Linked DNA regions of Rattus norvegicus. The protein of the gene in region 2 purifies or fractionates together with the protein of the main gene of each other region. This does not show direct contact. Links are inferred from orthologs where the notes say so. Each region holds a gene or a part of one and is shown on either strand. Other genes may lie near its edges. The genes, in order: Csnk2b and Rps6ka4.

Region 1 (4,528 bases), on a different chromosome or scaffold from region 2:
TCGAGGACAGTAGCCAAAGTCTCCTTGCTGGTACTTTTCCAACTGACATGTATAAAACAGAAGGGAGTGGTCGGTGAGTGCGTAGGCAATCTCAACGCACTCCCGGTTCCCCCACGCCTCCCGAGTCTGACTAGAAGCCCCTTCTGTGGAGACAGGCCCTCCAACCCCTCAGGTGCTTTTCCTTCGTGGGGCCGGCTGCAGAGCACAGGGCTGTTTGCCATGTGTCCCCTGCAAACTCCTTTTTCTGGTTTCATCTCCCTTCCTGAAAACACCACCTTCAATGGGACCCTCAGTGGCCCTGCCCTGGGCATCTCCCTCTCTCCTCTTCCCCAGCCTCTGACTCATGCACCCTTCCCCTCCTGTAGAAGTAGCAGGAGCAGAGCCTCACCATTTGTGCAATGCCCCGGTTGGTGAGGATGTAGCGGGCGTGGATCAACCCATAGAGCATCTCGGCCGCCTGCTCAATCAAGTCACTCTGGTTGGGGTTGTCTTCCAGCTCTTCATCTGAAATGTGGGGCGGCCACTTGTTTAGCTTCCCTAGGTATCCCTACCTTACCTGCAGTACCTGTTCCTAAGCTCGCCCTACCCACCATCCATGCATCTGACCCAGAAACCTGGGCTCCTGACTCCTCTACAAGGTCAAGACCCTCAGCGCAGCCTCTCTGTATGCCTTAGTCTCTGCCTAAGTCCCTCTCTCCTTCCACAGTAAGTAAATGTAAACACACAACCACAGAGGTGGCCCTCGAGGGCAGCAGAGGGAAAGAGGCAGCACACCAGGCCCAAGAGGAAATCACCATTACAAAACAGCCGAGCTGCTTTCAGAGAGCATCAAGACCAGGCAAGGAATCAAAACAGTGGAGAAGTTAAGCACTGCTGTGTGCCTCTCTCCAGCATGGAAAGCTAGGGCAGGACAGCACGTGGTAAAGTCCAGTTTGGGTTATGAATGGAGGGGCTAGAGGTGGGGGAGGAAACACAGGAGCAAGCGAGAATCAAAAGGAAATTTAGAAATTCAAGAAGCAAGCCAGTCTGTGATTCCAGCACTCAGGAGGCAGAGGCAGACAGATCTCTGTGAGTTCGAGGACAGCCTGGTCTACAGACTGAGTTCTAGGACCGACAAGGCTACCCAGGAAAATCCTGTCTCCACTACCCCTCTCCCCGCAAAAAACAAAACAAAACAAAAACAAACAAACAAACAAACAAACAAACAAAAAAACCCCAACATCAACAAATTCAAGAAGCAAGCAAGCAGAGAGCAGAAGAGAACGGAAACAAAGCACCCACAAGTGCACTCTATCACCAACCCCACAGTCAGCAACAACCCAGGACACACGTTAGTTACCAGGTTCCAGGTCCAAGATCATGTCTAGGGCTTGTCGATAGTGAGGCACCTGCTCATTGAGTCCAGTAAGATTAAATTTGTCCTGGATGTAGTCTTCATCCACCTACAGGGGAGTCAAGGGGTTCAAACCAGTATAGAAAGGCCCGTCATCTTCCCACCTGGGCCCAGGAGATAGTCTTTCCTCAGCCAAGCCACCTCTCATGTTTCCTAGTCCCAGTTCTGCAGAAGTACTCAAGTTTCATAAAAACTGCAGCTCTTTTCTTTAAGGCAAACCAGATCCAGCACACAAAGACATTATTCAGCTTCTGTCCCTCATTTTACAAATTGCATGTGCCCTCTTCTTGGGGACAGCAGACTCCTGAGCTGAAGACCTCGGAATCATGAAGGTCAAGTAGTTTAGTTTCTGAAAGGTATTTATAATTTTCTACCTTAGCACACCGTGCTTTGCACGTTACACAACTTTGACATGAGAGGTTTTAACTGCCCTAATGGTCACCAGAGACACCTCTGTTAGCCATGCATATTGACAAACCCTCACAATACTAGCACTCAGGAGGCGGCCGGTAGGATTGCCAGGAGTTCAAGGCCAGTCTAGTCTGCATAGTGAGCTCGATCGAAATCTGCTCTCAAACGACGTAAAATCAAACATCGAGGGCATGTGGAGTTGGCCGACCTAAACTCACCTCACAGAAGAATTCATTACCACGGAGCCCACAGAACCAGGAAATCCAGGACACCTCCTCAGAGCTACTCATCTTTATGTCCGCTGAGAAAGAAGAGCCTAAGTAAGTGGAGACCAAGCTGTTTCTGGTCTCTTCCCTCCTCCCACACGTTCTCCACAACGACGGATGAATCCGAGTCCAGCCGGGCTTAAAGGATCCCGGCCTCTGAAGCATCTCCAAGCTCCTCTCCTTTAGCTCGGCCCCCCCTTACAGTGTGCTGAGAACGAGTTCCGCTACTTTCCAGAAAATGACAGGTCCTGATCTGTTAGTGTTACCCCCGTCCCTGGCGCTCCTCACGGCCAGGCCCCTCTCCCCTCCATGTCAGCCGCGACAGGGCCCTCGGCTCGGGCTCCCCACCACCGCAGGTGCCTGCATATTCCTGGCGCCTGTCCCAAAGCTCCCGAAGTTCATTTTACCCAACAGAATCGGCCTCTCCTGCCCTCGCAGGGTTGGCGAGGGCACCACACTTCCGTGGGACTCACGAGCGTCCCCACAAGCCGCCTCCTCTCCCCAGGCCCCCCGACCTCCTTCGGCTACCGACCCGGTCACTTCCTTCGTCGCCCCCACATCGAGGAGCACCGACCCGAGTGCCGCGCCCAGGGACCGGCGACTGGGCGCGGAGACAACCCCACACTCACCGGCCGGACGGGGACTGGGACTGGGGCGGGGAAGGGGAGCTGTGCTTCCAAGGAACGGCAGAGACCGCTACAGCGCAAAAAGCCGACCCGGCCGCGGCAGACGAAGTGGGGAGGGGGGGACTGGAAACTGGTGAGGGTTTAGGGGTTGGGGGGGAGAAGAGAGCAACGCGCAGGCGCTAAGGACCGCCCCCCTACCTCCGTGGACGCCGGGAGATGTAGTCCCGTCAGGAGAGAGAAACTGACGAAATGAAGGGAAGGCAAACTACCAATCCCAGGAGGACCCGCGCATGACTCTAGGGCCGCGAGGCCCTAGAGGAAGCCGCCCGGGGGCGGGGCGAACGGAGCGCCACCGGAAGCGGAAGCCTAGCACGGAGTCTTCTCGACCAGGAAGCCTGGGAAATATAGTCTTAGGAGGCTGGCTAGACTACGGGGCTAGCGCCCGGGGTGATTGTCATCCCTACGGTGCTCTCTCGGCGTTGCGCTTTAGTTTTTCTCCCTCCTCCCCGTGCCAGGCCAACCCACTGGACCCTGGCTCTCCTGCCAGGCCCGCGACAGAGCGCGCTCGGGCTCCGGCATGCGCAGAGGTGTGGTGAGGGACTTAGGTCGGGTGTGCTTAGGACGCGCTGAGCTGTGCATACGGCGTGAGAATCTAGACCGCCCTGCGCGCTAACCTGAGGTGGGGCCAGCCATTCTGCCGCTCGTCCCTTTGTACTTCTCCATTTCCTCAGAGCTTGATGGAGCGTCCTGCTGCGGACCCTAACTGTTCTTCAAACCCTGCTCAGAGTAGTGGTGAGGGGTGCCGTGATGTTACTTCATCTCACAGCTCCTCGGCATTCCACAGGTCTCCCCCTCTGTGTCCTCAGAGTCTTTCTGAACGCAGAGGGTGGCCTCCCAGCTCCAGGAAAGGAGCTTGGTGCTGGAGGGACCAGGGCGAGGGTGGCGAAGAGCATTGTGGGGGCGTTATGTAAAAGCAGGACCCCAACCGACAGGTTCCCCCTTGGGTCCTCGCGCTCCTGGGCACGCGATGCTTTACACGGATGCTTGGAAAGGTTCCAGCGCGGGAAACTGAACCTTGTGGGTGTTTTGTTGTTGTTGCTGGTGCGCATGCGTCATGGCTCCCTGTAGCTCTGATTGTATCAACTCTTAGAGATTATGAGAGCGCCATTTTGCGGTACGGAAATGACAGTGCAGCGTCTTTCCCCGAAAGCTTCCGGAATAATGTCACGCCTGTTTTTTATCTGGGAAAAGGAGACCCCCCCTAGATAAGATCGAGCAAGATTTAAAAGGCTGAACTGATATTTTCAAACGGTATGTGTTAGAGGACAGGAAAAATGATTTCAGAGAGAGCCTGGCATTTTTGTAGGAAGATGGGAGTTGAACGCAGGACCCCTAGACCCCTATTCTTGTGGAATATTTTTCCTGTTATCCTTTTTCTTTTCTGTGTTAGAGATAGAACCTAGAATTCTCAAATTCGGGGCGAGCATTCTACCCAGAGACATAGGTACCTACCATGCCCTCCTGAAATTATATTAACATTGTGGCAGGATCAGTTATTCCTGGGTTACATTTTATCCATGAGCCCTGGGCTCTACAGAATCCTAGGTATGAAGTCAGTGTGGGGATGGAAGGTCCATTTTAGTTGTAGGCTGCTGGGCCCCTGGAGGTGGTGCTGGTCTTCACAAGAGCTACCTGAAAGGTAGGCTTGCTTGGCACATCCTCCTGCCTTGCCTGGTCTTCATTTTCTCACTTTTCCCACAGCCATGTCCAAGCCATCCCTCATCACATTCACTCCAGCCACCGACTCCAGTGACCTCTGGAAAGATGGTCAA
Region 2 (4,413 bases):
GCCTCTGCCTCCTGAGTGCTGGGATTAAAGGTGTATGTGAACTTTTTAAAAAATTTTTTTATTTTTCCTTTCATTTTTATTAAATTGGGTATTTCTTATTTACATTTCAAATGTTATTCCCTTTCCCAGTTTCCTGTCTGTCAGCCCCCTAGCCCCTCCCCCTCCCCTGGCTAACATTTTTTTTTTATATTGCAATATTAACATAGGATCTTAGGGACAAATAAGAAAGGAGAGGTTATGCTCTAGCAGAGACAGGTTAAAGGGGTGAAATGTCACAGTTCTGACACCTAGGAAGAGGGAACCTCACAGCTGAGGAAATGCTTCCATCAGACTGGCCTACGGGCGTCTTGGAGGAGACCTTTTCTTGATTCCTAATTGATTATAGGAGGGTTTAAGTCACTGTGGGTGGTACATTCCTAGGTAGATGGGCTCAGGTTATGTAATAAAGCTAGCTAAGCAAGTCAAGGGATGCAGTGCTCACAAGCGGCAGTGCTCCTCCTCACAAGCGGCAGTGCTCCTCCTCACAAGCGGCAGTGCTCCTCCTCACAAGCGGCAGTGCTCCTCCTCACAAGCAGTGTTCCTCTATGGTCTCTGCTTCAGTTCCCATCTCCAGATTCCAGCCTTGAGTTCCTGCCTTGACTTCCCTCAGTTACGGACTGTAACCTGAAAACCAAGCTGCTTTCAGTCAGAATGTTTTATCACAGCAACAAAGAAGCTAACTAATACAGGGACAATTAGGCTGGGTGGCAGGATGTGAGTCAGGGCACCTGAGGCTGCCGGAGGGAGGGTGGGGCTCCCCGGGATAGGTGGAGTGGGGTCCTTGAGCAATCAGCCCTGCAGGCTCCCTCTTTAATTCTTTTCGAAATTACATTTATTTTATATTATGCCATATGTTTGCACTGTATGTAGGTGCAGGCATTTAGATCTAAAGGCAGCGTGTGGAAGTCGGTTCTTTCTACCATGTGGGAGGGAACCAGGCATTCAACTCAGATGGTCTCCTTTGGGGCAAAAGTAACTTTACCCATGTAAAGTGGCTTCCTGTTTTTGAAGTGTACTCTCAAGATGCCCAATACCGACCCAGCATCAAGAGCCTAGGGCCCCCATGTCCAGGGAATAGAAAGACCCCTACTGTATTTGCTGAGCTTAACGAGTGGTCCTAAAGAAGGAGGTGGGCTGTGATTTGTGTCAATTGGCTCAGAGGAGCAGAAGAGGTGAGGCTGCCACGTGGGAGGGAGGGCTCCATAAGCCTGGGTGGGCAGCCCTCCTCAAATCCTGGGACACAGACCTCTAGTGTCCTCCATATTCTGCGGGACCGACGCCAGGCTAGGAGGCTTTCTCCCGCTGCAGCCACATGCCATCCAAAGGCCCCGCACGGCTCTCACCGGTCCAGGGGCCGGGAGACCCTGCCGCCCTCTCAGGCTTCCCACCCGCAGCCCCGTTCTGTCACGTTCCAGCCGCCTGACTCAGGCCGCACGGGGCGGGGAGCCGGGAGGCGGTGCTGGCGCCCGCTCGGCCCCGGAGGCGGCACCAGGAAGCACCCGCCCCGGCCGGAGCCGCCATGTAACCGGCGCCGCCCGGAGCCCCAGCCGCGCGGGCCCCAGCGACCGGCCCGCCATGGGAGACGAGGATGAGGATGAGGGCTGCGCCGTGGAGCTGCAGATCACCGAAGGTGGGTGCCAGATCCCGAGGCGGCTGCCCGGGACGGATGGCAAGAGTCAGCGACCCGCTGGGCTCATTCGCCCCCCTGTGCCCGCAGCCAACCTGACCGGGCATGAGGAGAAGGTGAGCGTGGAGAACTTCGCGCTGCTCAAGGTGCTGGGCACGGGAGGTGAGAAACTGCGTTCACTGGGCTAGTGCCCTGGCATGGTACTTTGGGCCTTCTGCCCGCCCACTTGCCTGGACCTGGGCTTGGGCCTGGCTGCTGGGGAGGTCCCCCCACCCTTTCCCGGCAGAGCACCCCTTGCCCGCCCCGCCCCACCGTACCAGGGTTCCGTGCCCACTTGCAGGGCGTCCGCGTTGACAAGACTGTTCTCTACAAAGTCCTGTGTGTGCATGCCCCCTGCCGCGATTTCCTAGTCTCTTTGGGGTTTTGACTCCCTCCCAAGGGCTTTGCATAGCTTCTCCCCCTTCTTTCCTTGCGAGCCCCACTCTTGTATTTTGCAAATCCCCCAGTCCGGGTTTGCACATCCCTACGCTGTCTAGGAGCGCGCCTCTGCCTCCGTGCCAGCGTTTTCATCTTTTCTCAGCTCTCTGATCATCCCAGGTTTGCACGTGCCCCGCCCCCTCCCCGCCCCGCAGGCCTTCTGGAGTTGCAAGCTCCCCAGGCTAGTTTGCACTGCACATTGCTTCTCCAGCTTAACTGAGCACCCTCCAGGGAGGGCTCACCTTTTCCTTAGAAGGCTCTGTCAGCCTTTTGCACCCCTCTTCCCACCAGTCTGCACCGCCCTCGCACTTACAGCCCACCTTCCAACCGCTTGCTTGCTGCTCCCACAGCCTACGGGAAGGTGTTCCTGGTGCGGAAGGCGGGTGGGCACGATGCGGGCAAGCTCTATGCCATGAAGGTGCTTCGCAAGGCGGCGTTGGTGCAGCGCGCCAAGACGCAGGAGCATACCCGCACCGAACGCTCAGTGCTGGAGCTGGTACGCCAGGCACCCTTCCTGGTCACACTGCACTACGCCTTCCAGACGGACGCCAAACTGCACCTCATCCTGGGTGAGAGCCTGTCATATCTTAGCTTTGGAGGGCGATGGGAGTCGTTAGGCTACCTTGTGGGGGAACATCTCAACTTTTCCTGCACCCCCAGACTATGTGAGCGGTGGTGAGATGTTCACTCACCTGTACCAGCGCCAGTACTTCAAGGAGGCTGAGGTGCGAGTGTACGGGGGAGAGATTGTGCTGGCCCTAGAGCACCTGCACAAGGTAGGAGAGGGCCCTGGCTTTTGGCTGCTCTCTGGGGACTGCCCTGAACCTAATGAGGGGCTTCCTGTTTCAGGGGCAGCATGGGTGGGGATCTTGAAAAAACTGCTTGCCTTGGCATGACCTGGAGGGTCTTCTGCTCCAGAGACTTCTGGAAGGGGCTTTCCTTCAACAGGAACTTAGGCTAACCCTCATCAGACTTCCTTAAGTGGTGACCTCAGACCTCAGTCCCCAAGACCTCTGAAATGGGGCTTTTTGTTTACACTCTTGGAGGCCCGTGCACAGGACTTCTCGATTTATCCCTTTGGTGGCCCTTCTTGATTCCCTTCTTATTCGTTTTTATTGTGTACATCTGTGGTAAGTGTATGTGCATATGTGCCAGAGTACATATGTGGGTCAGATTCTGTGACATTAATGATCTCCTTCCACCATTACATGGATGCTAGGGATCAATCTCAGAGTGTCAGCACTGTCTGCTGAGCCTTCTCGATGGCCCTTAGCCATCTCACGTAGCCTGAGCTGGCCTTGAAATCCCTATGTAGTCAAGAAAGACCTTAAACTTCTGACCCTGCAGCTCCTGTCTCTTTGAAACTGAGAGTACAGGCTTGTCCATCACGCCCAGTTTCTTGGGGTGCTGGGGATCCAACTGAGGAGCTCATGCTAGGTACTCTACTAACCAGTCCCACCCAGCCCCAGCCCTCACTTTTTTCTCTTCTTCCTTTTCTTCTTCATTTGTTGTTTTGTTTTGAGAGTCTCACTTTGTAACCCAGCTCTCCTGGTAGTCGATGAGTAGCCTAGGCTGGCCTCCTATCATAGCCTTCTGTCAACTAGGATGGCAGGTGTGTGCTTACATGCCTGGATCCAGTGGCTTTTCTTAACTAATAACTAGCCCTGCCCCGGCCTCATCCTGCCCTGGACATCTTCAGGGCACATCTTTATCCTAAGTGGGGACCCGCAGGAATGTGTAGGACAACTATCAGGGCAGCACTCAATGTCCCCTCTGCTCCTGCCAGTTGGGCATCATCTACAGGGACCTGAAGCTGGAGAACGTCTTACTTGACTCTGAAGGTCACATTGTCCTCACAGACTTTGGTTTGAGCAAGGAGTTCCTGACTGAGGAGGTGAGTGGATGGCAAGCTCTGCCCATGGTGCTTCCAGGCAGGCCTTTGTTGTGCTCCCTCCATATCAGCCCCCTGGGCGCTGCAGAGTAGTTGGGTACAAGGTTCCCACTGTTTTGTTCCGAGTCTTCTAAAGTTGAGCAAGTTCTGCTCTAAGTTTTTAGGGCCTTTGGGGTACGGGTGAAGTTGAGGTATCCAAATGGGTCCTCTTGGCTTCCCAGAAAGAGCGAACCTTCTCCTTCTGTGGCACCATCGAGTACATGGCTCCCGAAATCATCCGAAGCAAGGCTGGACATGGCAAGGTGGGTTGTCAGGGTGAAGATGGCAGGGGTGGGGCTAGTGCACAAGGCCTTCACTCTGACCCTGCCCCATAGGCTGT

What was found.
Region 1: the proteins of Rps6ka4 (region 2) and Csnk2b purify together in Homo sapiens (affinity purification with mass spectrometry; 3 studies listed by BioGRID and IntAct, with this or other methods). This does not show direct contact. The link is inferred for Rattus norvegicus from reciprocal best matches to the Homo sapiens genes RPS6KA4 and CSNK2B.

The regions. Positions count from the first base shown.
Region 1 is NC_086038.1:3,704,013-3,708,540, reverse strand, and holds the start of Csnk2b (casein kinase II subunit beta), read right to left. Parts: upstream 2,819-4,528; 5' UTR 2,700-2,818; intron 2,106-2,699; coding exon of another isoform or gene 2,095-2,105; coding exon 2,023-2,094; intron 1,443-2,022; coding exon 1,340-1,442; intron 505-1,339; coding exon 389-504; intron 43-388; coding exon 1-42. Other genes in the region: Gpank1 (G patch domain and ankyrin repeat-containing protein 1), read left to right, coding at 3,737-3,773, 4,458-4,528. UniProt on the Homo sapiens protein: Regulatory subunit of casein kinase II/CK2.
Region 2 is NC_086019.1:213,459,136-213,463,548, reverse strand, and holds the start of Rps6ka4 (ribosomal protein S6 kinase alpha-4), read left to right. Parts: upstream 1-1,566; 5' UTR 1,567-1,614; coding exon 1,615-1,669; intron 1,670-1,756; coding exon 1,757-1,828; intron 1,829-2,493; coding exon 2,494-2,712; intron 2,713-2,803; coding exon 2,804-2,919; intron 2,920-3,929; coding exon 3,930-4,037; intron 4,038-4,255; coding exon 4,256-4,336; intron 4,337-4,408; coding exon 4,409-4,413. UniProt on the Homo sapiens protein: Serine/threonine-protein kinase that is required for the mitogen or stress-induced phosphorylation of the transcription factors CREB1 and ATF1 and for the regulation of the transcription factor RELA, and that contributes to gene activation by histone phosphorylation and functions in the regulation of inflammatory genes.